Macaca mulatta: one gene and its partner. The protein of the gene in region 1 interacts with the protein of each later gene in a biochemical or structural test. Links are inferred from orthologs where the notes say so. Each region holds a gene or a part of one and is shown on either strand. Other genes may lie near its edges.

Evidence for each region.
Region 2: the proteins of TRIM7 (region 1) and RNF187 interact in a test that uses a peptide from one of them, tested with the Homo sapiens proteins (2 studies listed by BioGRID, with this or other methods). The link is inferred for Macaca mulatta from reciprocal best matches to the Homo sapiens genes TRIM7 and RNF187.

Annotation. Positions count from the first base shown.
Region 1 is NC_133411.1:190,243,229-190,258,329, reverse strand, and holds the start of TRIM7 (E3 ubiquitin-protein ligase TRIM7), read left to right. Parts: upstream 1-8,579; 5' UTR 8,580-10,280; coding exon 10,281-10,802; intron 10,803-11,748; coding exon 11,749-11,844; intron 11,845-12,266; exon of another isoform or gene 12,267-15,027; coding exon 15,028-15,101. UniProt on the Homo sapiens protein: E3 ubiquitin-protein ligase that have both tumor-promoting and tumor-suppressing activities and functions in several biological processes including innate immunity, regulation of ferroptosis as well as cell proliferation and migration.
Region 2 is NC_133406.1:86,248,303-86,263,266, forward strand, and holds RNF187 (E3 ubiquitin-protein ligase RNF187), read left to right. Parts: upstream 1-5,924; 5' UTR 5,925-6,031; coding exon 6,032-6,421; intron 6,422-7,484; coding exon 7,485-7,577; intron 7,578-10,376; coding exon 10,377-10,598; intron 10,599-11,209; coding exon 11,210-11,212; 3' UTR 11,213-13,524; downstream 13,525-14,964.

The DNA of each region.
Region 1 (15,101 bases):
AGGACCATCACTCAGTCCTTTGCCACTCTCCTCTAAGTGTATTTTGCCCTGTGCCTCAGCTAACGTAAGACAGTTCTCATTGGTCTTCCTTGTGGAAAGCAAAGCAAATTGTGAAGCAAATTCAAAGCAAAGCAACACAGTCAACATCAGCCAACTAGCTGGGCGGGGCAACAAGATGTACAGGAAACAGTCTCTTTGGAGTCATATTTCGAATTACATGTTTAAAAATATTTAGAAACGGGCGGGGCGCAGTGGCTCGCGCCTGTAATCCCAGCACTTTGGGAGGCCGAGGCGGGTGGGTCACCTTAGGTCAGGCGTTGGAGACCAGCCTGCCCAACATAGTGAAACCCCCCCGTCTTACTAAAAATACAGAATTAGCTGGGCGCAGTGGCGCATACCTGTAATCCCAGCTACTTGGGAGGCTGAGGCACGAGAATCGTCGCTTGAACCTCGGAGGCGGAGGTTGTAGCGAACCGAGATCGTGCCATTGCACTCCAGTGACAAGAGCGAAACTCCGCTCCGTCTCAAATATATATACCTTTGTTTCTTTGTTGGAGACGGAGTTTCAGGAGGATCCTCTGGGAGGACCCTTTGAGACCAAGGACCCCTCCACGTCTCTAAATAGATATTATACATATTATAAAATATATATTATATATTTATTACATAAATAATAAATACATTACATAAATAGCAAATACATTATATATTCATTATGTAATAATAAATTTATTACATAATGACTATATTATATATTTATTATATAAATAATAAGTATATTATATATTTATATTATATATGCTGTATCTATTTTAGAAAGGTGGAGTGGATGGTGGCCTCAAAAGATCCTGCCAGAGACTTCCCAAAGTTCATTGGGCTACAGGTCTCAGCCACTGTGGCTGGCTTTAGGTTACACAATGCCACCTTGTCGTTATGGCTTTACAGCTTTCCTGAATTCATCTTGTTTCAATTAACTGGAACTCAGTGCTATTACTCCCTTTTTGATGCTTGAATTGCAGCTGCATGTTGGCGGGCGCCCCTTTGCCATGGCTGTTTGTTCTTTCAGTATTGTCCTGACAATTTGAAAGCACCCGTTTCCAAATTCTGCTTTGGCCTGTCTATGCTTCCTCTACCCTATGATGCAGGAAAATATTCAGGAAGTTTGAGGGGTTTTTTTCAGTGAAGAATAAAAGAGCCCACTCCGGGTACCAGGACAGTGCGTGGAGTCAGAACTCCTGGCTCCTTCACTCGCAGGTACCCTAGAGAAATAGTTTGAAGGAGGCGAATTCACATCGAAGGTTCTATTTAGTTGCAGCTTTGCTAGATATTTGCTTTTTGTTTTGTTTTGTCTGAGACAGGGTTTTGCTCTGTCGCCCAGCCTGGAGTGCAGTGGCACAATCTCGGCTCACTGCAAGCTCCCCCTCCTGCGTTCAAGCGATTCTCTCGCCTCAGCCTCCCGCGCATCTGGGACTATAGGCGCCGCCACCACGCCCGGCTAATTTTTGTATTTTTAGTGGAGACGGAGCTTCACCGTATTTGCCAGGCTGGTCTCCAACTCCTGACCTCGTGATCCACCAGCCTGGCCGCCCAAAGTGCTGGGATTACAGGCGTGAGCCACCGCACCAGGCCTTTTTTTTTCTTTCTTTTTTTTTTTTTTTCAAATAAACAACATCATTTCCTTACCAGATTATCTATTTAGATTGTTTTTTGGGGTTTTGTTTGTTTGTTTGTTTGTTTTTTGTTTTTTTTTTTTTTTTTTTTTGAGAGGAGTCTTGCTCTGTCGCCCAGGCTGGAGTGCAGTGGCGCGATCTCGGCTCACTGCAACCTCCGCCTCCCGGGTTCACTCCATTCTCCTGCCTCAGCCTCCTGAGTAGTTGGGATTACAGGTGCGTGCCACCACGCCCGGCTAATTTTTGTATTTTTAGTAGAGACGGGGCTTCACCATGTTGGTCAGGCTGGTCTCGAACTCCTGACCTCGCGATCCGCCTCCGTCGGCCCCCCAAAGTGCTGGGATTACAGGCATGAGCAACCGCGCCTGGCCTCTACTTAGATATTTAACCTCTCACTCAAAAGCCAATTGTAGGCTAGTCGTGGTGGCTCTCACCTATAATCCCAGCATTTTGGGAGGCCAAGGTGAGTGGATTGCTTGAGCCCAGGAGTTTGAGACCAGCCTGGGCAACATGACAAAACAAAAAACACAAAATTATTTTCTCTCTTTTTTTCTATTTTAAAGTAGAAAATACAGAATATTTTCTACAAAAAAAAAAAAAAAAATACAAAAATTAGCCAGGCATGTGCCACACCAGCTATTCAGGAGGCTGAGGTGGGAGGATGACTTGAGCTCAGAAGGTAGAGGCTGCAGTGAGCCAAGATAGCACCACTGCACCCCGGCCTGGGTAGCAGAGCGTGATCTTGTCTCAACATTTAGAGAGAAAGGTGTGATTAAACTCTTACTAGGGACTAGGTACTGTCCTTTTATTTATTTATCTTTTATTTTCTTTTATGAGTCTAGAGTCTCCCTGTGTTGCTAGGGCTGACCTTGAATTCTTGGGCTTAAGCAATCCAATCCTCCTGCCTCAGCCCTCCTGAGGTTAAAGGCACACACCACCATTCTAGGCTTTGTCCTATGTGCTAGATTTGCATTGATTCCTTGCATCCTCGAAACCAACCTGTGGTGTGCACTGTTAAAATGACACCTCATTTATTCAGTCATTTATATTGCAGTAAAAAGGGATAGATCAGGTCCCTGCCCTACTGGAGTTCACTTTCTGACAGGTGATTTAAATAACAAACAACAGGCAGATACAGAAACCACCTCAGAGAGTGATAAGGGCTGCCACAATATTAAAGAGGGCAATGTGGTAGAGTGGCAGGTCAACAGAAGATGGCATTATAGAGAGGGGACCAGGAAAGAGGCAGCAGAACAGGTGACACTGAGCTGAGCCAGGAAGAGAGAGAGGCAGCCTTCCAAAGATCTTGGAGAAGAGGCTTTTGGGAGAGAGGAAGCGGAGGAAGGTCAAAGACTCTGAAGTAGGAGTGAGACTGGTGAGATCAAGAGGGAAGACCTTGGGTGTGGGAAGGTAAGGAGCCACAGCTCTACTTCCTTGAATATGCATTCTCATGACCACCCACACCAGTTGCTGTTTTTTTGTTTTATTTTTTTTTTGCAAACAGATTGAAAAATGAGTGGAGGACATTGGATCTGCGATCTTACAGGACCCCGAGGCTAATGAGGCACACAGTAAGGCCTCAGTGCAGGACTGTGAAAGATAGATAAATGAGTACATAGCTTTATTCAGAAGATTTCAAATAATACTCCCAGGATTTCTGAAGGTGCTATGGGTTACTGGTTAAAGCAGGGAGTCTGTAAGAGCAAATGAAGTTCGGATACCAGCTCTCCACTGCCAGCTATGACCTAATCCCTCAGTCTCCTGCCTCCTTGCCCAGCCAATGAGGGTTCATAAATATAAAATCAATAATTGTGATTTGAAATGTATAAGTGACATTTACCAATTGCTTAGCCGTTCAGAATGCCTCCGTTTGACAGCCTTAGTTAATGAAAGTTAGTTAATGAGGGAACTGATGAAAGGGATTGTTCTTGTTGTTTCAAAAATTGATCACTTTATTAAAAAAAAAATCTGTAAGCTGAATTTAAAGTCTTCAGAAAAACTAGACCTTAACATTTACAACTCCAATAAATTGAATATTAATCACAAAGCAAGCATGTATTCTTTTCTATATTCAGAAGTGCCCCCATCACCCCTAGATACTAAACATCTCAAATGACAGTGATAAGCAGGGACGTTTCCCAGAATATCCTGTGGCTCTACTCCAGTTGGTCCCAACACAGAATGGAAGAACGGGCCATTCTGGGTCATCTTTTTGGCCACTCTTCCTTTTTCAGGCAGTCCTCCAGAGTTAGGTTGCTCCAGTTGACACTTCAGCTTCCTTCTTGCCTGAAACTCACATTCCCCAGAACACTAGCATGTGACTGAGGCCTGCCTTCTACCTGAGGGACTTGCACCTTTAATCCAATGTGATATGATATAAACAGCAATGAAACAGTGAGGTGAGCATTTGATGGCAGCTGAGCCATCTCCCCTGATGCTACCACAGAGATCCTAAAAGAATGACTTCCTCAAGTTCAGTAAAGAGAAATCAGTGATTGCTAGAGAAAGAGATACCGGGGCCGGGCGCGGTGGCTCACGCCTGTAATCCCGACACTGTGGGAGGCCGAGACGGGCGGATCACGAGGTCAGGGAATCGAGACCATCCTGGCTAACACGGTGAAACCCCGTCTCTACCAAAAGTACAAAAAATTACCCGGGCGAGGTGGCGGGCGCCTGTAGTCACAGCTACTGGGGAGGCTGAGGCAGGAGAATGGTGTGAACCTGGGAGACAGAGCCGAGATCCCGCCACTGCACTCCAGCCTGGGCAACAGAGCGAGACTCCGTCTCAAAAAATAAAAAAAATAATAATAAAAAAAGAAAGATATTGGAATATGTTTAGACTAGTTAGATTAGGTAATAGCCATGAATATATTAAACCTGAAGATAATTTTCTGTTTCAAATGAGGTTTTTAAATGAAAACATTCGGAAAAGTTTGATTAATAATTTACATATAAATTATATGTAATGATTCTTGTAGACACTTCAGCAAACACATCTGTGCTCTAATAATTTATACATGCCCCACAGGACACCAAGACCAAATGGAAAATGACATATACATTTTATTTCTTATGTCTGGTTGGATTCGTTCTTCCTGTCCAAGGAAGAAGATGTGCAGAGTAAGAAATAACTGAGCAGGCCTTTCTAATGGTGTCCTGGCTTTGCAAGTGAAGAGAACACGGTAGCCTCTTCAGAAACAGGCCTGAAAAGAGAAAACACAACGCTGTCACACAGAATTGGGTTAAGAACCATAAATGAAAGTGACACTGTACTCTTCAAAATCTTTTATCTGAGTACGTTCTTGTGTGATGTAAAGGGGCGGGGGAAGGTCCTTCTTCATGCCAGGTGGTGCCCTGTAGGCTCTTCAATGGGTGTTATCCTGTAGGCAGGCAGTGAAAGACTCCAGCAATTTTAAGTGGGGGAGTCACACGTTTAAATTTGTTGTCCAGGCAGCCCATTTCCCCCAAGACCGTGGAGAAACAGGCAATCTCATTCATGGCTAGTGGGAGGTCATATCAGACTAGGTTCTGTAGCAGGGTGATTTATCTATTTTTACAAAATTACTTGCACATAAACCTGGATGCCACAAATCTCACTTCTGGCAATTACCTCCACAGATAAAAGTGCAAAAGTGCAAAATGACAGTTGCTACATGCTTAACTGTAGCATTGATCATAAGAACAAAAAAATTGGAAACAATGTAAATGCCCATCCATAAGTCATCTGTTAAATAAAAGATGATTCATCTACAGGGGAATATTGTGCAGCTGTAAAAAAAGATTGAGGATATTTTCTATGTTTTGAAATAGAAAGATCTTTGAAATAGACCGGGCGCGGTGACTCATGCCTGTAATCCCAGCACTTTGGAAGGCCAAGGCGGGCAGATCACCTGAGGTCGGGAGTTGGAGACCAGCCTGACCAACATGGAGAAACCCCGTCTCTGCTAAAAATACATAATTAGCCAGGCATGGTGGCACATGCCTGTAATTCCAGCTACTAGGGAGGCTGAAGCAGGAGAGTTGCTTGAACCTGGGAGGCGGAGGTTGCAGTGAGTCAAGATCTCCCACTATGCTCCAGTCTGGGTGGCAGATTAAGAGACTCTGTCCCCCGCCTTCCCCCCATCCCCCAAAAAACTATACTTGCATCAAAATTTCTGGAAGAATATGTACAAAAATATAAAATTGAAATTGTCACCTAAGGGGGAGTTAAACACTTTTCACTGAATTCTGCTTTATTATTTAATGTTCTTTAATTTTTATTTTAAAGATGAGGGTCTGGCTAGGTAGTTGGCCAGGTTGGTCCTGAACTCTTGGCCTCAAGCAACCTTCCCACCTCGGCCTCCTAAAAGTGCAGGGATTACAGGTATGAGCCACCACGCTCAGCCGAAATTATTTTTATTTTATTTTTTTTTAATGAAATACCGCCCTGTCCGCCAGGCTGGAGTGCAGTGGCGCTATCTCGGCTCACTGCAACCTCTGCCTCCTGGGTTTAAGTTATTCTCCTGCCTCAGAATCCCGAGTAGCTGAGATTACAGGCGTCCACCAAAACGCCTGTTTGTATTTATTATTATTATTATTATTATTATTATTATTATTATTTTTGGGGACAGAGTCTTGCTCTGTCGCCCAGGCTGGAGTGCAGTGACGCGATCTCGTCTCACTGCAACCTCCCCCTCCCGAGTAGCTGGGATTACAGGTGCGCGCCACCACGCCCAGCTAATTTTTGTATTTTTAGTAGAGACGGGATTTCACCATGTTGGCCAGGCTAGTCTCCAACTCCTGACTTCAGGTGATCCGCCCGCCTCGGCCTCCCAGAGTGCTGAGATTACAGCCGTGACCGGTCGAAAGATTTTTTTTTGTTGTGTTGTGTTGTATTTTGTTTTGTTTTGTTTTGTTTGTTTGTTTGTTTGTTTGAGACGGAGTCTCGCTCTGTGGCCCAGGCTGGAGTGCAGTGGCCGGATCTCAGCTCACTGCAAGCTCCGCCTCCCGGGTTCCCGCCATTCTCCTGCCTCAGCCTCCCGAGTAGCTGGGACCACAGGCGCCGCCACCTCGCCCGGCTAGTTTTTTTGTATTTTTGGTAGAGACGAGGTTTCACCGTGTTAGCCAGGATGGTCTCGATCTGCTGACCTCGTGATCCGTCACTCCTCTGCCTCCCAAAGTGCTGGGATTACAGGCCTGAGCCACCGCGCCCGGCCGAAAGATGTTTTTTAAAGCTCATTTTGTGGTGCATGTAGCCTCTGTGGAAAATGGTATACCACTTCCTTAAAAACATAGAGATGCCATATGACCCAGTAATTTCACTTTGTGACGTGTACTCTAAAAAAATAGAAAACCTGAACTCAAACAGATATTCGTACACCCATGTTCATAGCTGCATTATCCACAGTAGCCAAAAGGAGGAAGGAAGCAAGTGTACATTGGCAGATGAATGGATCATGTGGTATATACGTGCAGGGGAATGCTAATCAGCTTTGAAAGGAAGGAAATTTTGACACATGCTACATAAGGATCAATCTTGAAGACATTAAATGAAATAAGACAATTAAAAAAAGAAATATTGTACGATTCATCTTACATGACGTATCTAGAGGAGTCAAATTCATAGACACAAAGTAGAATGGTGGTTGTCAGCGGTTGTGGGCAGAGGGGAATGGAGAGTTAGTGTTGGATGGGTTCAGAGTTTCATCTGGGAAACATGAAAAAGGAGATTGATGCACAACGATTTAAACGTATTTAATGCTACAGAACTGTACAGTTAAAAAGTGGTAAATTTTGTTGGGCATATTTTACCACAGTTTGAAACCCTAATTGTACTGCTAGATAATGGGTAATGAACATGCAGCGCCTACAAGAGTATTTCACACACAGAAGTGAAAGGCTTCAGAGCAGATTATTTTCCTAAGGGTTGGTCGGCTTATAATGTTTTACAGGTATGGCCAGTAATCGTAGATTTAGGAGTAAAACGACCAACTACGCCCAACGTGGGGCTCGAACCCACGACCCTGAGATTAAGAGTCTCATGCTCTACCGACTGAGCTAGCCGGGCGTCCGGTAACTCCGCCTAAAGAATTTTTCATTCTAGATTACATTGGGACCATATTCAACTGTGGGTTTGAACTTGGATTTGTTTGGAGTGTGATAAAACTACTGAAGAGCCTCGGCTCCCGGGAAATTCAAACTCTGCCGTTCCTGCCTGACTGTCCCTCCCACTTACGTCCGTTTTCTGCCCCTTCTACCCTACCAGCGATCAAGCCATTTTCTACCCGCGATGAAGCTCACGGCAAGGAGATGGAAAAACGTGCATCCTGACGCCACTGGAGCTCTCACCGTGTGGATTTTTTTTTTTTTTTTCCCTTTTTTTACAGAGTCCTGCTCTGTCGCCCAGGTTGCAGTGCCGTATCGGAATCTCGGCTCACTGCAACCTCCGCCTCCTGGATTCAAGCAATTCTCCTGCCAAAGGCTCCTGAGTAGCTGGGATTACAGGCGCCTGCCACCACGCCCGGCTACGTAGAGACCGGGTTTCGCCTTGTTGGTCAGGCTGATCTCAAACTGCTGACCTAGTGATTCACCCGCCTCGGCCTCCTAAAGTGCCGGGATTACAGGAATGAGCCACCGCACCCGGTAAAGTACCGTGTGGATTTTTAAAGACAATTAATGGGGCCCAGAGGAGGGCAGGGGCCGCCGCGGTCTTTCTCCACCCCGCAGACTCTACCTTCTGGGTTTTTCCTGGCGCTCTGCGAACACGCTGGATTTCAAAATTTGAAAGGAAAATCGAGAATAAAAATTGGATGTGCAAAAGAACACTGGAGATGCCGGGGATCGAACCCGGGGCCTCATACATGCAAAGCAAGCGCTCTACCACTGAGCTACATCCCCGTCCACGTTTTGAGGCTCTCCCAGATTGCCCCTAGTCGTCGCTTAGCTCAGGGCATCGGGAGCGGATGACAACTGGTGTGCGCTGGGTCTCAGCTGCTGCAAAAACCCGGGATCGCAGGGCCGAGAGTTGTTCCAGGGTCCTCCGCTGACTCCAGACCAGCGGGTCTTGACCAAGAGATTCCAAGAGAGAGGATTAGGCCCGGCTAAGCACCTGGGAGCAGCGGTGGAAAAAGGAGAGAAAATCATCAGGCACGATGCCAAAACTGAACTGTGACCTGAAAAAGAAAAGAAGGGAAAATTGTGCAGGATGCTACGTTTTGTTTTTTAAAACAGGGGGTCGAGGCGATAAAATACGGAATATTTGATTAATGTAATCCAGAATTGTAAAGTTGATTGCTCGGGATGAAGAAAGAACTGGGACACAGGTGAAGGGCCTACTTTTCACCGTGAACTGCGGCTCATCTTTCGAATTCTGAACCACGTTTAATCCGAGAAAACTTTACTGAGCTTGCCAAGAACTGCTCTAAAAACAGGATTCAGCCGTGAACAAACCGGGTACAGTCCGTCTTAAAGCTGACATTCCAGAGGAGATGGAGAGCGGGCACAGAGCCAGCCCGGAGAGGGGAGCGCGCTGAGAGACCACTTTACACAGCGTGCGCGTTCGGGGCGGGCTTCGTGGGCAGAGACGTTTGAAGCAAGACCTGAATGAGGTGGGAAGGAGCATGCAGGTGGTCGGAGAAAAGAGGTCCACGCAAGGGGAACAGCCAGCGCAGAGGCCACGCAGTTCAGGAACAGCAGGAAGGGTCGGGGACACAGCCCTGAGAAGGGAAGTCGGGAAGGGGGGAGGTGAGGCGAGGTCTTCGCCTTTGGGTGAGAATTGCTGGAGTTCCCGGTAACACTGGCAAGCCAGTTTCTGAGGAGGGTGCGGGCGAAAGCCTGATCCAAGCGACCTCCAGAGTGAACAAGGAGAGAGGGTGTGGAAGCGGGTAACACAGGCAGTTCTGCAGAGGGGCTGTGGAGACAGCTGGGGGACAAGAGAGCGCTGAGGTTTGTATGTGGGGGGGTGAAATAATACTGAATAAAATGGGAAAGTATATATGTATTATCTGTTCAAATATTAAGTAAAGAGTAAAGAAGGGAGAGGACGGTCGCAGAAAAGGTAATGGAGTGGATACAAGGCCATGCTTGAGGGTGAGGGGACAGGGCCAGGTTCCAGTCTCTAAATTTAGCTCAGTTCAGGGCCGGGGCGAACCTGCGCTAGGGGAACCTGACACCGTGGCCCGAGCGCCAGGCCCTTGCTCCGAGATGCTGGGTCGGCCTCGGTCGGAAACCGGGAGTGGCTCCCGGCAGGGTTTGTGCGCCCACCTGTCGCGGCCCGTTTCCCGCGGCTGACTGGGTCAGGCTGGGGCGGCCTGGAGAGGCTGAGCGACTGGGGCGACGGGGAGAGGCCGCTGGCCAAGGCGGGGGCTGGTGGAGCGCAGGTCCGGGGCGCGGGGCGCTGTCCCGCGCTTGAATGGCCCAGTGTCTTCGGGCCTGTAGTCAACGTGCGCCTCCCCTCCCGGCTCCCAGCCGGGCGCGCCCTGGGCTCAAGTCTCTGCCTGCCCAGTGGCAGCCCCGCCCTTCCTCTCCCAGTGGGCACTCGGCGGCCAGCTCGGACGTCGGGCTCCGACCCGCGTCCTGTGAGGTCCAGCGGCCGCCCAGGCGCTACCAGATCTGAGAGCGCGGAGAGCGCGCATGGCGGCTGTGGGGCCGCGGACCGGCTCCGGCACCGGGGCCGAGGCTCTAGCGCTGGCGGCAGAGCTGCAGGGCGAGGCGACGTGCTCCATCTGCCTAGAGCTTTTTCGTGAGCCGGTGTCCGTCGAGTGCGGCCACAGCTTCTGCCGCGCCTGCATAGGGCGCTGCTGGGAGCGCCCGGGCGCGGGGATTGTTGGGGCGGTGACCCGCGCGCCGCCCTTCCCACTGCCCTGCCCGCAGTGCCGCGAGCCCGCGCGCCCCAGTCAGCTGCGGCCCAACCGGCAGCTGGCCGCCGTGGCCACGCTCCTTCGGCGCTTCAGCCTGCCCGCGGCCGCCCCGGGAGAGCACGGGTCCCAGGCGCCCTCGGCCGGGGCAGCGGCTGCCCGGTGCGGTCAGCATGGCGAACCATTCAAGCTCTACTGCCAGGACGACGGACGCGCCATCTGCGTGGTGTGCGACCGCGCCCGCGAGCACCGCGAGCACGCCGTGCTGCCGCTGGACGAGGCGGTGCAGGACGCCAAGGTGAGCGCAGCCCGCACCCACCCCTGTGGGTCCCCGGGACCCCCTGCCCTGGTCCCGCGCTCCCGCGCACGCGGTGCAGAGAACAGACTGTCGATCAGGAGGCCCGGGTGAGCCCTCCCTTCTTTCTCCTATTCCAGGAAGCCCAGCACGGGTCCCCCGGCTGAGCGCGGTTCTCTGTCACCCCGAACATCACCAATACCCCCACCCCACCCCCACTGCGTTTCCCTCTGGGCCAGACACTGGGCTGCCTGCGCGACGTCCCCCGCGGACTTGGCGATGTTTTTCCTGTCTGTTCAGAGCCTCTAGCCTGGTCTGCGTCTCCGCAGCTCTGCGCCCGCGGGACGTCTCCGGCACAGCCAGGCAGCCGCTGCCCCCACTCTTATCTCTTTCCCTGAAGCGGGCTCTGCTCAAAGTCCCCACCTCGTGGAACTGAGTGGGAGGACCTCGCCAAGAGGTCCAGGGAGGGGGCTCCTGGGTCAAGCAGCACCGAGAGCCGTCTGACTGTGCCAAGGCTGTCGATTCTGAGCGCCCTTTCTTTGCTATTTTCTCGCTGAGCCTCAGCGAGGGTGTGTGCAGGGGTGAGGGCGGGGCGGGGAGGCTCGGGCGGCAGTCACCAGTTTCTCCTTGCTCACCTATCCTGCTCCAACTCTCCCACCCACAGGGCTTCCTGATGGTGGGGCGGAGAGCAGAGGAGACGACTAGGGGTAGGGCTGCTGGAGGCTTGTGTTTCAGTCTGGCTGGTCCAGCAGATGCTTTTGGGGACGCAAGATCCCGAGACCTTCAGAGTCCCCTCGCAGTGTAACCTGCAACCTGTAGACAGACTTCTACCCGGCCTCCCCCTCAGTGAGCAGGGCCTTCCCTTTCTCCTGGCTGGCTCCAGGAGGCAGAGGTGGGGGTTTCCAGAATCCCCTCCCCCCCACCTCACATTGTTTCCCTTCACCTACAGGAGCTCTTGGAGTCCAGGCTGAGGGTCTTGAAGAAGGAACTGGAGGACTATGAGGTGTCCCGGTCCACGGAAGAGAAGGAGAGCAAGGAGCTCCTGGTGAGCCAGGCACCCCCTGGCACCCCGTGGGAGATTATAGAGGCCTACGCAGCACCAGGGCTCAGTGTGTGTGGTGTTGGAGTGTGTGCTATGGAACCGCAGAATAGATTTCAGAAAAATAAAAGAGTGCATGTTACATAGGGTGACCATATAATTACTGTAAAAGCAGAGCTTTTTAAAGTGAAAAGGTGTGCTAAAAATAATTATTGCAAAACAACTGGCTTAAACTGGAACTGTCCCAGCGAATCAGGACATACAGTCACTCTGATATTACATAACATACCAGTTAGGGCCTGTGGAAGCATCTTGTAATTGAACACATTAATATTTCTGCAGAGAAACATGAATATTCCATAAATGGGACTCTTAATACGATAAAGAACCTCATGGGATGTTTTATCAACAAAAGAGGAGTGAAAAAATTTTCATTTTCTGAGTTTTTTTATTTGAAATTGAGGCTAAGGGAGAAGGGGCTGGAGGGTGTCAGCCGCTTCATGGCTCCGGCACAGTGAGGCAGTTTGGGGTCTTGAGTTGACAGTAGCCCCTGCTGCACAGCCCAGGGTCTTGCATACTGGCATCTGCCTCTACCCCAAGTTGGAATGATATTTTATCTTCCTTAGAGTAGAACAGGAAAGTGAAATGGGGACTAATTTTGGTTAAGATAAGCAAACATGAATCACCATCGGTCATTTTCTACCTTGCAAATTCAGTTCCTAGCTCAGTAAATAAGTGTTGAAAGAAGGAAAGGATTGGCTGAGTGCCACGGCTCACCGCCTGTAATCCCAGCACTTTGGGAGGCCCAGGCGGACGGATCACCTGAGGTTGGGAGTTCCAGACCAGCCTGACCAACATGGAGAAACCCCCATCGCCACTAAAAATACAAAATTAGCCGGGTGTGGTGGCGCATTGCCTGTAATCCCAGCTACTCGGGAGGGTGAGGCAGAAGAATAGCTTGAACCTGGGAGGTAGAGGTTGCAGTGAGCCAAGATCACGCCACTGTACTCCAGCCTGGGCAACAAGAGTGAAAATCCATCAAAAAAAAAAAAAAAAAAAAGAATGAAATAGGGCCTGTCAAAGCAGGGAATTGGAGGAAGGTGAACTAGAGGACCCTCCCATCCTCAATGTCAGGAGGGGTGGAGGAGGAGCCTGGAGTTCAGACACCCTAGGGTCCTTTCCAGACCCTCAACTATATCTGTGGTGCCTGCATCCAGCGTGCATCCCAGACCTTCCCACCCAATCACTCACTTCCCTCCATGATGAAGAGCTCACCCTCCAGACCTTCATCCCTCCTCCGCTGGAGAAACAACTTCCAGCGCAGCTCTTCCGCCACTGGCTGACATCCAGGAACCAGAGGGCCTTCCCAGGCACCGGTGGCAGCTTCATGGTCTCTGACCGGAGTCCCCAGGCCTTGCTTAACACCTTCCACCTCTGTCCGCTCCCAACATCCATCCATCACCCCCACATTCATTTTTGTTGTTGTTTTGTTTTGCTTTTACACAGAGTCTCGCTTTGTCACTAAGGCTGGAGTAGTTCAAGCGACCCCCCCACTTCAGCCTCCTGAGTAGCTGGGACTACAGGTGTGCACCACTCCACCTGGCTAATTTTTAATTTATTTTTTGTAGAGCTGGGGTTGGGGGTAGTCTCCTATGTTGCCCAGGCTGGTCTGGAACTCGTGGGCTCAAGCAACCTCCTCCCCTAACTTCGCCCCCCTCAGCCTCCCAAAGTGCTGAGATTACAGGTGCGAGCTCCACCTCTTCTTTACAGTGAGAAAATACTTCTGTGATTTACGATGCTCGTATCATTTAAATACCCTGCTTAATGAAACATCAGAGGTAGAGTCCAACTATTGCTGCAACATAAAAGGGAGAAGGAATACTCTTATTTGAAAATACTCCTACCCCAGGGGACATCTGGCAAAGTCTGGAGATACTATATTTCTGGTTGTCAACAATGGGATACGGATGCTATTGGCATTTAGTGGTAGAGGCCAGAGGGGCTGCTAAACATCCTACCAGGCACAGGACAGCCCCCCCACAACCAAGGAGTATCTGGCCCAGAATGTCACCTGCGTTAAGGTTGGGAAACCCTGGTGTAGAGTGTTTTGGCAAATACTGTTTCACTTATGTTATTTCCTTGTGAGGCAATATGATGTAGCTGCCAGAAGCTCAGACTCTGCGTTCTGGCTCCCTGGCCTAGAAGCCTGGCTTACCACTTCCCGGTGATGTGTCTGCCTTTGTCTCCTCACCTGAAAGACTTGGGGGGAAGTGCACCCACCTCACTGGGCTGCCGTCAGGGTTGAGGGAGTTAATACCTATAAGGCTCTCCGGGCTACTGCAGCCTGCCTGGAAGCTGAAGGAAAGGTGGGGGCATTGTGCGACACCTGAACCCAGGTCTCCCAGCTTCCCGGGACTTCCTTCCTCCGCCCAGGAGTTTTAAGGAAGAGAAACTTCCTGGTGGGACACACTGAGTACCACACGTGTGTTCCCACAAAAAATCAAGAGATCAGGGCATGAGTCTGCATCTGAAAACTCGAGTAAAAAATCTTGTGTATGCTGTTAACGGAAAGAATAGAATATCAAGCTTGCACACAGCATATTCTCACTTAGTTCCTTGGGGGTGAGCTGCTACCTCTGGTCACTGGCATCGGACTTTTCTTCCTTCTTTCTACTTTCCTACATCTCCCAAGTTTTGTATTTTGAGCATGTGTTACCATTATAACTGCTAAACAGGGAAGATGGCCTTTAAAAACAAAGTGAAGAGTAAAAGTTTGAGGGTGATGAAATTAACGTGCTTAAGGAGGAAAAGGCAATCTCAGTTTAATCCTATGGTTGCCCCAGGAGGCACTAATTTATCCCTTCTACTTTTCAAGTGAGGAAACTGCCACTTGGTGTAGTTCTGGGGGGAGTATGATGCTGCCTTGGTTTAGGTGGTGGAGCACAGGTCCACAGACACGCGTGGGCACATCTGTGGCAAGGGAGAAAAGAGCACGTGTTGAGACTACAGCTTGTTCGGAGCTGGGACATTGAAAATAGAGCATGCACTGCCTGCATAGGTGGGTGTGTCTCTGATCCCCCAGCAGTGACAGGGATGAAGCCTTGCCCTATGGGATGACTCAGGCCACTGGCCAAATGTTATGTCTCCATGCTCAAGTCCCCTACCTCTCCAATTCTCCTCCTGGGACAGAAGCAGATGGCAGCGGAGCAGGAGAAGGTGGGGGCAGAGTTCCAGGCGCTGAGGGCCTTCCTAGTGGAGCAGGA
Region 2 (14,964 bases), on another chromosome or scaffold:
ACCAGTACCAGAAATTCCAGGAAAAACAAGAAATTTGTTTTTTCAATTAGCTGAGTATATAGCCCAGTCTCTCAATGTCACTTCATGTTATGTATGTGGAGGAACTATAATGGGAGATCAATGGCCATGGGAAGCCTGAGAATTAGGGTCTACAGACCCAGTTCCTGATGAATTCCCGGTTCAAAAGAATCACCGTGATAATTTCTGGGTCCTAAAACCTCAATTATTGGATAATATTGCATAGCTAGAAAAGGAAAAGAATTCACTCAGCCCGTAGGATGACTTAGTTGTGTAAGACAGAAACTGTATAATGGTACCACAGAAACAGTCACTTGGTGGAGTTCAAATCACACAGAGAGAAATCCATTTAGCAAATTCCCAAAGTTGCAAACTGTGTGAACCCACCCAGAGTCCCACGGGGACTGGACAGTCCCCACTGGATTATACTGGTTATGTGGGCATAGAGCTTATGCCAAATTACCTGACCAGTGGGCAGGTAGTTGTGTTATTGGCACTATTAAACCACCTTTCTTCCTACTGCCCATAAAAACAGGCGAACTCCTGGGCTTCCCTATCTATGCTTCCCTTGAAAAGAGAAGCATAGCTATAAGAAATTGAAAAAAAATGATAAATGGCCCCCTGAGAGAATCATACAATATTATAGGCCTGCTACTTGGGCACAAGATGGTTCATGGGGATACCGGACCCCCATTTACATGATCAACCGAACCATATGGTTACAAGCTGTCTTAGAAGTAATCACTAATAAAACCGGCAGAGCCTTGACTATTCTGGCTCAGCAAGAAATTCAGATGAGAAATGCTATCTATCAAAATAGATTAGCTCTCAACTACCTGCTAGCAGCTGAAGGAGAGATCTGTAGGAAATTTAACCTTACTAATTGCTGCCTACACATAGATAATTAAGGGCAAGTAGTTGAAAACATGGTTAGAGATATGACAAAACTGGCACATGTGCCCGTGCAAGTATGGCATAGATATGATCCTGGGGCCATGTTTACAAAATGACTCTCAGCGCTAGGAGGATTTAAAACCCTTATAATAAGAGTTATAATAGTAATAGGAACCTACTTACCGCTCCCTTGTTTGATACCTTTACTTCTTCGAATGATAAAAAGCTTCATCGCTACCTTAGTTCACCAAAATGCCTCAGCACAAATGTACTATATAAATCATTATCGATCTGTCTTGCAAGAAGACATGGGTAGTGAAAATGAAAGTAAGAACTCCCACTAATAAAATGAGTGAGAGTCTCAAAGGAGGGGAATAAGGGAGGAGACCACCCTTCATATTGTCTTTTGCCCAATTTCGGCCTCCAAAGAAAGAAGAAGTCAAAACTGAAAGGCAGAAATGAAATCCACAGCAGACAGCCTGGCGCCGCACCCTGGGCCTGGTAGTTAAAGATCGACCCCTGACCTAACTGGTTCTGTTATCTATAGATTACAGACATTGTATAGGAATACACTGTGAAAATTCCTATCTTGTTTTGTTCCGATCCAATTACTGGTGCATGCATCCCCCAGTAACATAGCCCCTGCTTGCTCAATCAATCTCGACCCTCTCACATGCACCCCCTTAGAGTTGTGAGCCCTTAAAAGGGACAGGAATTGCTCGCTCAGGGAGCTCGGCTCTTGAGACTGAAGTCTTGCCAATGCCCCCGGCCAAATAAACCCCTTCCTTCTTTAACTCGGTGTCTGAGGAGTTTTGTCTGCCGCTTGTCCTGCTACATTTCCTTTCTCTCTCTCCTTGACGCCCTCTTAGTCTGTCTCTTCCTCTCTCTCTCTCTGCCTCTTTTCCTCTCTGTCTCTTTCCTTTCTCTCTCTCTGCTGGTCTTTCCTTGCCTCTGCCAGCCGCTTATGCTTCTGTTCTCTCAACCACCGTGTGTTGGGGGCGGGGGATCTGAAACAAGCTGGTCTGCGTTCCCTGGCTTACAGGTTACCTTGTGCCGTACCTATAAAACAAGGGACCTGTCCATGATTCCTTCTAATGGCCAACCTACCTCTAACGCTGGCCAGTCTACCTTACACAAAGTTTTAAGTTTTCCTGGTGTCATAGTACTCCGTAGTCTCCCTTAAATCCTTTTCTTGAAAAATTTCAACATAGTTCCTTAATGGGGTGGGCTTACTTTGTGCCTCACCCATGTTTCCTCTAGACAAAACACCACGCTCACACCACACGCACACCACAAAACAAAGGTGCTCCTCCCTTAGCACCACACAATGTGGATTCTGCTAGTGGTAAGGAAGAGAGGCTTTCAGGCAACAATCTTTGCCAATGTCTACTTTCAAAAGTCTCTAATGCACATGTGTGCAAGTTCATGGCTGCTACCATTTACTAAGCCATGCCCCCAGTATTGGACCTTCAAGGTTTTGTTTTTCCCTCCAAAATGAATAGTGATATGATATACATATCCTCATTTCTTCTCTCTTCCTCTCCCTTCCTCTCTCCCTCCCTTCCGTTCTCTTTCTTTTTTTTCTCCTTCCTTCCTTCCCTTCCTTTCTTCTTTCTCTCTTTTCCCATTCTTCCTTCCTTCCTCCTTCTCTCCCTTCATCACCATTGTCTTAATCTCAACTACCCAGTGACACTGCCAAAGGTCGCAGGGACCTCTGCCTATGAAAGCTAGGTATTGTCCAAAGTTTCTCCCCATGTGATAGTCTGAAATACGACCTTGTGGGAAGGGAAAGACCTGATCGTCCCCTGGCGTGACACCCATGAAGGGTCTGTGCTGAAGATGACTAGTATAAGAGGAAAGAAGGCCTCTTGGCAGTTGAGCTAGAGAAAAGCATCTGTCTCCTGCCTGTCCCTGGGCAATGGAACATCTCGGTGTAAAACCCGATTGTGTGTTCTGTTTACTGAGAAAGGAGAAAACCGCCTTAGGGCTGAAGGAGGGACTTGCTAGCGCAATGCTGCTCTTTATGCACTAAAAAGGTTTATGGAGATGTTTGTATATGCATAACAAGGCACAGCACTTTTCCTTAAACTTATGTCACAGAGATCTTTATTCATATATCTTACTGCTGACCTTCTCCCTAGGATGATCCTATTATCCTGCCACTTCTCTTTTTCTAAGATGGTAAAGATAATTATCAATAAATACCAAGGGAACTCAGAGACAGGTGTCAGCGTGGGTCCTCTGTATGCTGAGCGCCAGTCCCCTGGGCCCACTTTTTCTTTCTCTATACTTTGTCTCTGTGTCTCATTTCTTTTCTCAAGTCTCTCGTTCCACCTAACGAGAAACGCCCACAGGTGTGGAGGGGCAGGCCACCCCTTCACTCAAGTAGCTGGTACTACAGGCATGCACCACCACGCCTGACTAATTTTTGTATTTTTAGTAGAGATGGGGTTTCACCATGTTGGCCAGGATGGTCTTGATCTCTTGACCTTGTGATCCGCCTGCCTCAGCTTCCCAAAGTTCTGGGATTACAGGCGTGCGCCACCACACCCAGCTTCAGATGATCCATCCTCCTCCCAAAGTGCTGTGGTTACAGGCCTGAGCCACGGCTCCTGGCCAAGTTGCTTTTTTTTTGTCTGCTTACTTAATAGTGGAAAGAGTCTCGTTTTATTTTCCTCTTTCTTAACTGGGCAGAGTGTACATTTTTTTCTCATGTGTGTTCAATCATTTGTGCGTTTTTTTTCTGCGATTTGAAAAATCCCACGACAAGGTGCATTTTCCATTGTGCTTTTCCTTACCAAATTTTAAACTCTTTGTATATTTGTGGCTAAAATGTTCCTAATTTGGCAATTTGCCTCTAATTATCGTTTTTGATATTTTCTCATTCGCAAGATTAGTTCATTATGAAGTTTGCTCATTTTTTATATTTTTTTACTTTTCTCTCCAGCAAGTTTCTAGTTGACTCCACAAATCAGCAAGGCTCTGCTGGAAGCCTTCTAATCTTTACTACACAGAAATAACCTCGGCTTACTATTCATATTTCCCACGGGCATTTAGTGCATTTCCAAGTCGATTAAAAAAATCTTAACAAAGACAAAAATACCTCATTAGATCCTGCGCTTGTTTGGAATACAGATTAAAAAAAAATTTTTTTTTAAGACAGAGTCTCGCTCTGTTGCCAGGCTAGAGTGCGGTGGCACTATCTTGGCTCATCGTAACCTCCGACTCCCTGGTTCAAGCGATTCTCCTGCCTCAGCCTCCAGAGTAACTGGGATTACAGGAACGCGCCACCACGCCTGGCTAATTTGTGTATTTTTAGTAGAGAGGGGGTTTCACCATGAGCCAGGAAGGTCTTGATCTCTTGACCTTGTGATCCGCTTGCCTCGGTCTCCCAAAGTGCTGGGATTAGTGGCGTGAGCCATGGCGCCCGGTCCAGATTTTTTAAAATGCAAAACTTGCAGTTTTTTTTTTTTTTTTGATGCTTGCTTGTTTTCAAAATAATTAAAAAACAAAAACACAAAATTGCTCTTCCCAAAGGCTTCTTTCTTTCCTTTAAATTTATTTTTTAAAGAAAAGCTAGCCGGGCACGGTGTCTCAAGCCTGTAATCCCAGCACTTTGGGAGGCCGAGATGGGCGGATCACAAGGTCAGGAGATCGAGACCATCCTGGCTAACACGGTGAAACCCCATCTCTACTAAAAAATACAAAAAACTAGCCGGGCGAGGTGGCGGGCGCCTGTGGTCCCAGCTACTCCGGAGGCTGAGGCAGGAGAATGGCGTAAACCCGGGAGGCGGAGCTTGCAGTGAGCTGAGATCCGGCCACTGCACTCCAGCCTGGGCGACAGAGCCAGACTCAGTCTCAAAAAAAAAAAAGAAAAGCTAACGGCTGGGCGCAGTGGCTCACGCCTGTAATCCCAGCACTTTGGGAGGCCAAGGTGGGCAGATTATGAGGTCAGGAGTTCGAGACCAGCCTGGCCAATATGGTGAAACCCTCCTCTTTACTAAAAATACAACAATTAGCCGGGCGTGGTGGCGGGCGCCTGTAATCCCGGCTACTTGGGAGGCTGAGGCAGGAGAATCGCTTGAACCCGGGAGGCGGCGGTTGCAGTGAGCCGAGAACGCGCCACTAGCGAGGCTCTGTCTCAAAAAAAAAAAAAAAAAAAAAAAAAAAAAAGAAAGAAAAGCTAACAAATGCTGTTTTGTCATGCATCATCACGGAATGAATGAGAGCTCCTGCCAGCCAGGAGACAGCGGACTACCAGGGTTGCTTCCCAGAGGTCAAGAAGGGAGGTCGCGCGAGAAGAGGCTCCGTGGGATGGGTCCACGCAGCGAAATCCCACGCAGGGTGGGCGTATACGAGTGTCCACGTCCGAAGGGCCCGTTCAAGGGCAGATCCCTGAAGGTTGGGTGAACGCAGGGCACGTCCACGCGGGCAGGCCCTTGCACGCAGGGAGTGCCCACGCAGGGCGGGTCCGTGTAGCATGAGAGCAGCGAAGGAGGCCCACGCAGGCCATTTCGCGCCCCGTCCTCAGCCCACGCTGGCGAGCTACCGCGGGGAAACGCGCAGCTCAGATCTTAGCAGCTTACAAGAACAACCTTTTAAAAATGGAACCTTCAAGTAAAAATAAAACTTTTGTTGCCTTCTTCTACAGGAGTTATTGATGTAGGAAGGGACAGTCCCAGTAACATTTCAGGATACGACTTGGGCCGGTCCGCAGGCAGGAGAGTGAAGCGCGCAGCTGCCAGGGCTTACGGGGTGACGTGCAACGCTGCTAGGACCTTGCAGGTGGAGAGCATAGTTGCCAAAACCAAGGCGAAAGAGTGCACCGCCGCTAGGATCCGGGCGGAGGAGCCCACCACGGCCCGGACTTATTACGGATGCAGTACACTGCTGCCAGGATCTTGTCTGTGGAGGGCAGCGGGGCCGGGACCTCAGTTTGCAGCACACCGCTGCCAGGATCTCGTCGGCTGAGCGTTCCGCGGTCCGATCCCCGCCCCGTGCGCGTCGCCGGCGTTGGCGTCGTCTTCCTGGTGCTGGTCTCCGTCCGGTCGCCGGTCGCCTTGGTCTCCGGCCCTCCCCAGACGCTCCCGCACCCTTGCCGACCGCGCCGTCCGCAGCCCTGGCGCTCCCTGCGGGCCCCGCCGAGGCCGCCTGCGCCCTGTGCCAGCGCGCGCCCCGGGAGCCGGTGCGCGCCGACTGCGGCCACCGCTTCTGTCGGGCGTGCGTGGTGCGCTTCTGGGCCGAGGAGGACGGGCCCTTCCCGTGCCCCGAGTGCGCCGACGACTGCTGGCAGCGCGCAGTGGAGCCCGGCCGGCCCCCGCTCAGCCGCCGCCTTCTGGCGCTCGAGGAGGCGGCCGCGGCGCCCGCGCGCGACGGCCCGGCCAGCGAGGCCGCGCTGCAGCTGCTGTGCCGCGCTGACGCCGGCCCGCTCTGCGCCGCCTGCCGCATGGCTGCAGGCCCCGAGCCGCCCGAGTGGGAGCCGCGCTGGAGGAAGGCGCTGCGCGGCAAGGTGCGCGCGGCGGGGTCCCGTGCCCCGCCCCGGGCGGTGCCCTGCGCCTCTCCGCCCCTGCCCCGGTCCCCCTGAGCCCTGGGCCCTTCCCATTTCCACTGTCCCTGTCCCCGGATTGTCCCCCTCCCTTTACCGCCACGGGTCCCCGCTCCAGCGTGTGCTGGGCCCCTCCTTCTTGCAGCTTGCCTCCCCACGTTTTCTGCGTCTCTTCCGAGTCTGGTCCGCGTCCCCATCTTGGTGTCCCCTGCTGGGCGGTGCTTTATCTCCCCACCCCCTACCTTCTACGAAGTCCTTCCCCCACCAGCGTCCATCTTTGTGGTCCCCACCACTAGCTGTGCCCTGCCTCACACTCATAGACCCCCCTCTAGTTCCCACAGATTGACTCCCCCACTCACTGTTCCCTTGGGGAAGACATCACACCTCTCGACCCTCTGTATTCCACTATGTCCACAGGCCTGGCCCGCCTTCTTGTCTGCTCTCCGGGCCACCCAGCCCTCACTTGCACCGCCTGTCCCCTCTCCCGTCTTTCAGAGACCCGCTCTGGGAGTCTGGCAGCGACGGGTCTGGGAGTCTGGAGCCTTTCCCATGGCGGGTTGTTTGGGGGATACAGAGTAGGAGAGAACAGCCAGCCTGGGGTCCCGCTCTTGAATACAGGGGAGGGGAAGCCAGCCAGACTGTGCCTCTGGGCGCTCCTCCTGCATTGAGGGCTCTTGCCACCAGGCAGAGTGACCCCCATCGGGCTCAGGCAGGGCAGGGTGTAGGGCAGGCTGTGCAGACCTGTGGTACAGACCGAACTCACACTGAACAGGGCCACTTACAGACACACAACTCCTAAACCCACCTAGACAGTCCCCTTAGCCCCAGCACCCAGATCCTTCTGAATAGGTGTGAAGCCCAAGAAACCTTTTGGCTGCCTGTGTGTTCCTGTCCTAGACAACAGGGCTTCGAGATTATCTCTGGAATGGTCAGACTGTGTGCATTCAGCTGGGGTGATGTCCCTCAGAACTGGGCTAGGTTGGGGGAGACCTTCTGCCCACCCCTGGTGACCTTCCTCTCTTTCCAGGAGAACAAGGGGTCTGTGGAAATCATGAGAAAGGACTTGAATGACGCCCGGGACCTGCATGGCCAGGCGGAGTCAGCAGCTGCAGTGTGGAAGGCAAGTGGGGGGCCTGGAGGCAGCCTGGAATGAGGGGACCGGGGACTCAGGGCTCTAGACAAAGGGACCACCAGGCCAAGCAGGCCAGGCCTCTGAACTGCTCAGCTGGTTGGTTGGAGGAGGGGCCTCTGGACTTTAGTGAGTTTCAGGGTATTTTTCTAGGATGTGTTTGTATTTTTCAAATAGAATCTAACCAAAGTCAGTGGAAGCCTCTTTTTCGCCTCACATTTCACCTGTAGGTGATGGCAGCATCAGACTTACTCTTTTTTTTTTTTTTTTTTTTTCCAAGAGACAGTCTCATTTGGCTGAAGTGCAGTGGTCTGCTTGTAGCTCACTGCAGCTCGAACTGGCCTCAGGCGATCCTCCCACCTCAGCCTCTGGGACTATAGGCATGTGCTACCACACCTGGCTAATTTTAGAATGCTTTTGTAGAGATGGGGGTCTTGCTGTGTTGCCCAGGCTGGTCTTGAACTCCTGGCCTCAAGCGATTCTCCTGCCTTGGCCTCCCAAAGTGCTAATTTTTTTTTTCTTTTAAAACACATCTGTAACTTTCTGTGGTCCTCTTGTTCTGATCTGAGAGTTGCTCATTTTTTTTTTAAAGGCTAGAAATCCAGGATCAAGGAACTGGCACATTCTGTGTCTGTTGAGAACGCTTCCTGGTTCATAGATGGTGCCTTCTCACTGTGTCCTCACATGGAAGAAGTAAGGGTGTCTCTGGGGTCCTTTAAGGACACTGATTCCATTCTTGAGAGTTCCACCCTTACAACCTCATTACCTCCCAAAGGTCCTGCCTCCTAACACCATCACCTTAGGGATGAGGATTTCAGCATGGGGATTTGGGGAGGCCACAGACATTCAGACCACAGCAGTGTTACTTTCCTTGGGTGCCTTCCACAGCATTACATCCCAAAGGGCAAAGGGACATCCCACTAGATTCTTTGAGGTTACTCACAAGTAAAGCTCTTCAGTCGTTTAAACTCTCTTTGGTGACTTTTTCCTCATGTGTAGTAAAAAATCTGTGTGCCATTTTCTCTGGGTTTCATAAATTCCTACTTCCTCCTTTTAACCTGAAAGACAGAGTGATTTTCAAAGGTGCAGCAGCTCTTGGGTAACTGGCTGCACCTCGAGGCTGAGGCCCGCATTTTTACCCCAGCTTGAGGCTGAGGTAGACTCTCTGTGTTCCCGGTGGTGCTGAGCCCTTGCCTACTCTCCACAGGCCTGAGGTGCAGGCCTCACTCAGTGACAGGTGACACACAGAGTCCCTGATGCCAGTCGGACCCCTGGCACTCCACACTGCCCTTGGGGGCTGCTCTGAACTTCTCCTTGCCTTGTGAGTGGTCAACACTGCCCAGTGCAAGTGAGGCTGGAAGGCTTTGGGGACCTCCAAGTTTTCAATAACTTGTGTTACCCCCAAGGGACTTGTTTTGCCCACAGGTTTTAGGTTGGAGTTTTCAATCTGTCCTGTTTTGGGGGTTGGTGGCTTAGATGCTGGGATGAGAGAAGCCACCTAAATTCAAAGGAAGGAGTTTGCAGTGTGCCGCATCAGCCAACCAGCAGACACCCAGCTGTCATTTGCATTCTCTCTCAGCAACAAAAGCCTTGGCTTCTCATGACTATGGCTGTCACCTGCCCTGTGTGGCCCAGGGCCAGGTGGAAGCCATCCATGACTCTGAGTAAAATCACAGTAGCATCCTCCTCTGCTCTCCTGTTTCCAAGGTTAGGGGTTGGCTGGAAACCAGCTGAAGAGTGGCAAGTGTGAACGCTGTTTGTTGAAGGCTGATGGGATGGTTTTCAGCTGTTGGAGTTCTGGTGTGGGCACAGCAGGGACAGTTTCTGGCAAGATGGGTGTGTGTCCTGCCTTGACAGTAACGTGCCTGACAGGCTCTAGACCTAGCAGGGCCACTCAAGGATTTACTGTCCCCTTGGCCATGGGAGACGGGAGAGGAACTGTCTTCATGTGCAGCTGACCACTGCAGTGTCAGGGAGAAAGAACTCTACTTCTCCCCTTTTAGGGTCCCAGGCTGGGCCGGAGAATTAAACTGACATAAGCTAAACTAACAGGGCCAGGTGCAGTGGTTCATGCCTGTAATCCCAGCAACTTGGGAGGCTGAGGTAGGAGGATTGCTTGAGGGTAGGAGTTCGAGACCAGCCTGGGTAACATAGTGAGACCCCCATCTGTACAAAAATTAAGAAATTAGCCAGGTGTGGTGGTGCATCTGTGGTCCCAGCTACTTGGGAGGCTGAGGTGGGAGGATACTTAAGCCCAAGAGGTTGAGGCTGCAGTAAGCTATGATGGCACCACTGCACTCCAGCCTGGGTGACAGAGTGAGACCCTATCTCAAAAAAAAGGAAGATAGATTAGTGGGAGAAAAAACATAAGTTTTTTTTTTTTTTTTTTTTGAGATGGAGTCTTGCTCTTGTTGCCCAGGCTGGAGTGCTGTGGTGCCATCTTGCCTCACTGCATCCTCTGCCTCCTTGGTTCAAGTGGTTCTCCTGCCTCAGCCTTCTGAGTAACTGCGACTACAGGCATGTGCCACCACGCCTGGCTAATCTTGTATTTTTAGTGGAGATGGGGTTTCACCATGTTGGCCAGGCTGGTCTTGAACTCCTGACCTCAAGTGATCCACCCACCTCGGCCTCCCAAAGTGCTGGGATTACAAGCGTGAACCACACCACACTCGTGCCTGAGCAGCATGTTTTAGAGTGGCATGTTCTTAACTCCTTCAAGAGGGAACAGGTTCCCCTTCGCCTGGGGAGAGTGGGCGAGGACACAGGTCTTTTCCTGCCACCTGTCTGCAGGGACACGTGATGGACCGTAGGAAGAAGGCACTGACTGACTACAAGAAGCTGCGGGCCTTCTTTGTGGAGGAGGAGGAGCACTTCCTGCAGGAGGCTGAGAAGGAGGAGGGGCTACCTGAGGACGAGCTGGCTGACCCCACTGAGCGGTTCAGGTCACTGCTGCAGGCGGTGTCGGAGCTGGAGAAGAAGCACCGGAACCTGGGCCTCAGCATGCTGCTGCAGGTGTGGGATCCCCACTGGGTCTGTCCACCATCAGGCCAGGGTGGACGTAGGCAGCAGCGAGCCACTGGGGGGCCATTGCCCGAGGTCAAGGCTTAAAAGCCCAGCCTGACTCCCACTGCCGTGGCCTTGCAGGGCTGATTTTGGGAATGGGTGGGTGGTCAAGGAAGGTGATAGGAAGGGGTTTTAAGTTGAGAAGGGTCTGAGGTGTCCCTGACCTTCACAAGGGAGGACACTTGGTATCCCAAGTGCCTGAGGCTTCTGCCCCGCCCTAGGGTTCTGAAGGCAGAAGCAGGCAAGAAACTCAGCCTCAGGGCTTTTCTTCTGCCTCTGCCCAGGGCCTGGCCTGAACCCCAGAGCCCGCAGCAACCCAGATGGCCTTGAATGGTTCAATTGCCTGTGCCAGCCATAGGTGACAAGGCTTTGGCCTTGGGGAGACAGAAGTCTGGGCTAGGCCCTGGGTTGGTTGTGCTCAGGACAGTACCTCATGCACTGTCTCATGTGCACTCTCTCTTGCTCTCTCTCACTCTCTCCTTTTGTCTTTGTCTCTGCCTCTGTGTGTCTCTTTCTCTGTTGTTTTGTGTCTCTGTCTTTCCCTCTACCTTCCCATGCAGTGATGGCGCCAACCGGCGGCAGTCCCAGAGTTGGAGGCAGGAGGGGATGGATCCTCATCTCCTTGGGAAGTGTCAGCGTGTGGCTGTCAGGGAAGCGTGGAAGGCGCCCGGCCTTGGGTCCGTCTATATAGTTGTGTGTTTCAAGAATGTCCCTTTATCCTTCACCCTGAGGCGTGAGTGTTTTGGGGGCTACAAACACCTCCCGGTAGAGGCTGGACCTGAGGACCCTTCCGACCTGTGCCCGACCCTTCCTGAAGTCCTGGCCACAGCCCATCTTCCATAAGTCCCAGCAGCTCTGGGCCATGCCCTTCCTCTGTCACCTATCTGCCCCTCACCTTGTCATCCACGGACCCAGACCCTGCACCTTCCATGCGGGCCCACAGATCCTTGGCAGGTACCTGAGGTGCACCATTGAGTGTCGAATTTGGGGTTAACATCTAGAAAGAAGAACGCACATGAGGCTCTGTGAAGGCTGGAACTCAGGTCTTCAGGGAAGAGAAAGGAAGACTGGATTGCACCTTGATGCCTCCTGAGGAGGCAGCCCTCCTCTTGAGGTGGGCTTGGGCCCCGCCCAGCCTTATCCGCGTCGCTCTGTCCACCTCCCCCTTCCTGGCCCCCACCCTGCCTCTGTGTCTCCCAGAAGCCCTCCCTGTGCTCCACCTGCCTCCGTAGAAGGAACTCTCTTTCTCCTTTTTCCTGGGCGAGGGGGCTGGCAGGTGGCTAACCCCATTTAGCATCTCCAGGCCCTGCCATGGTGTCTCATCTTGCTGTTCTCTCTGGCTCTTTCTCTCTTCCCATTTCCTTTAGTAGTTGAATTTTGCAAAGCTCGTAGCAGTAGCTCAGTTGCCTGCAGCATCCTTGTGTGTAGATAAATTCGTCTAGTCGACAGAAACTCAGCACTGGGGACAGGATTGCAAAGTCTGGGACATAGATGCAGGCAGATGTTGAGATTTGGGTATAGCTGGGCTTGTGAGCAGTGCCTATTTCCAGATGAAGCCTTTCAGCCTTTCCGAGTCCCCGGCCTTTGGTGCGATGTCTGTGAGTTTGACCTACCCAGCGTGTGGGCTGGTTCAATGTTGAATAAAGTGAGTTTGTGTCAGCTTGTTTGCTTCGTCTCCGTATGTCCACCTCTTCCCCCTGCTCTGGCCACCCTCCAGTGTGAAAGGAAAATTCCTCGTGACACTTGCTAAAGCATGGTGAGGAGATCTTTCATTGGGACCATGGAGATGGGTGTGGAGCCCTTTCCTTGGGGCCTCAGGGGAGATGGGGCTCCACCCCGACACAGTAGGGCAGGGGTTGGAGAAGCCGAGGAGCAGTGTGGGGTCCATTGGTGGGAATGACTGTGAGGAGACATCAGGGCTGAGGGGGGTCTGGCTAAACCCACCTCACAGAGTCCTTGCTGCAGGCAGGCAGGGTGATCAGACATTGGTTGCAAACGGTCTGATAGGAACCCAGTCAGGTACCATTGAGGGTGGTCAGATATTATGGTTAAACCAAATTAGGGTTCTTGCTAAAACTGGATTTCATAAGAAAGGGCACAGAGGACCCTAGGAGAAGATTCCAGAGCCTGGCCAAGTAGATAATCTTTGTCAGCACGCCAACAACATCCCGATCCTGAGACCTCCAGTTTGTCTTTCTCACTGTCTCTACCTGCTGCAGTCTGCTGTCGTCCCCAAGTGTCCTTGCCCCTGCGCTGCACACCTGTGATGCATGGCTGGCCAGGTCCTGATGGGACAGAGTCTCCCGCAACATCAAAGTGTCTCCACATCACCAGGTCCAACAGTGGCTTCACCATCCTCACCTAATCTAGCTGACCAGCAACATCCCACCCTGTCAATCACAACCTGTTTCTATTTGAAAAAATTATATACTTATGGGGCACAGTGTGATGTTTTGATATCTGTACATTGTGGAGTGACAGAATCAAGCAGATTCATGTATCCATCTCATGTTTTTTTTTTGTGGTGAGAACATTTGAAATCTACACTCAGCAATTTCAAATACAGTCATAGTCATCCCTCTGTGTCCAAGGGGCATTGGTTCCAGGACCCCTTCCTGGATACCAAAATCCGCAGATGCTCAAGTCCCCTGCAGTCAGCCCTCCCTCTGCACGTATGTGGGACACTCAGATACGAGGGCTGACTGTGTACAGTACACGGTTATCAGCTGAAGTCACCATGCTGTGCAATAGACCTTGAGTTTATTCTTGTATAACGGGAACTCTGTACCCTTTGACTAGAATTTCCCCAAATCCTCTTGTCTCAGCCCCTGCTAACTACTGTTCTATTTCTATAAATCAACATTTTGATTCCACATATAAGTGAGATCATGCGATATTTGTCTTGGCTTATTTCACTTTAATAATGTCCTCTAGATTCACCCATGTTGCAAATAGCAGGGTTTCCTTTATTATGGCTAAATAGTATTCCATTGTGTGTATATACCACATTTTCTTAATCAATTTTTCCACTGTATCCCTTTATCCACTTTGCTGCTAGACCACGTAGGTTGATTGCCTATCTTGGTTGTTGTAAAAGTGCTGTAAGAAACACAGTGTGGGTATCTCTTCCACATATTTATGTCATTTCCTTTTGGAAAATACTTAGCAGTAGGATTGCTGGGTCACAGTACTCAAATTTTTAAGTTTTTGAATAACCTCCATATGTTTCTCCATAATGGCTATAATAATTTACATCCTCGCCAACATTTGTTGTCCTTGAAATTAGTCATTCTAAGAAGTGTGAGATAATCTCATTTTGATTTGCTTTGCATTTCCCTGATGATTAATGATGTTGAGCATTTTTTCGTATACCTGTTGGCCATTGGTGTGTCTTCTTTTGAGAAATGTCTCTTCAGGTTCTTTGTCCATTTTTTAGTTGTTTATTTGCTTTCCTGCTATTGAGTTTGAGTTCCATGTATATTTTGGATATTAACCCCCTACCTAATGTATGGTTTGCAAATATTCTCTCCTGATTTGTGAGTTGTCTTCACTCTGTTGATGATTTCCTTTGCTGTGCAGAAGCATTTTAGCTCTATGCAATCCTGTTTATTTTTCTTTTGTTGCTTGTGCTTTTAGGGTCACATGCAAGAAGTGATATGACCCTAAAGCCTAGGCCAGTGTCATGGGGTTTTTCACCTGTGTTTTCTTCTGCTGGCTTTACAGTTTCAGGCCTTACAATTAAGCCCTTGTCTGTTTTGAATGGATTTTTGTGTAGGGACATTCCCTCCACAAGGGCTTCCTCTGGCCTTGCTGATAATCCTCCATCTCCCTTGTGTCCTCTCCACTCCACCCTCTTCATGTGGATGGACTCTTGGCATCCTCGTGTGGCCTCTCTGTCTTACCCAGACCCCCATGGTGACCTCACACTTGCCTCTCCGACGTGGGTCTCTCTTCCAAACCCTCTTCCAGGTCCAACCACGCCTTCATCCCAGACTCACCCAGGGGCCCAATCCCTGCAGTCCTCAGACAGACATCTCAGAGCTGTCTCTGAGTCGTCTTCTCTAACAGTCCACAGTAGGTCTGCAAAGGAATCCTGCAGGCTTTTCCTGTAGCCACAGACCTTGACCTCCTCTTAACTGCTCCCCGCCAGTCCCCCACCGTGGCCCACTGGCACTGTCCTCTACTGCCCAGGAGACCTGGAAACCTCATCTCCTACCCCTGCTCCAACAGTGCATTCTCAGCCCCGCAGGTAGATGGGTTTCTACCTTAAAATATGTAGGATGAACCAGTCTGGTGATCTGATGTACAACAGGAG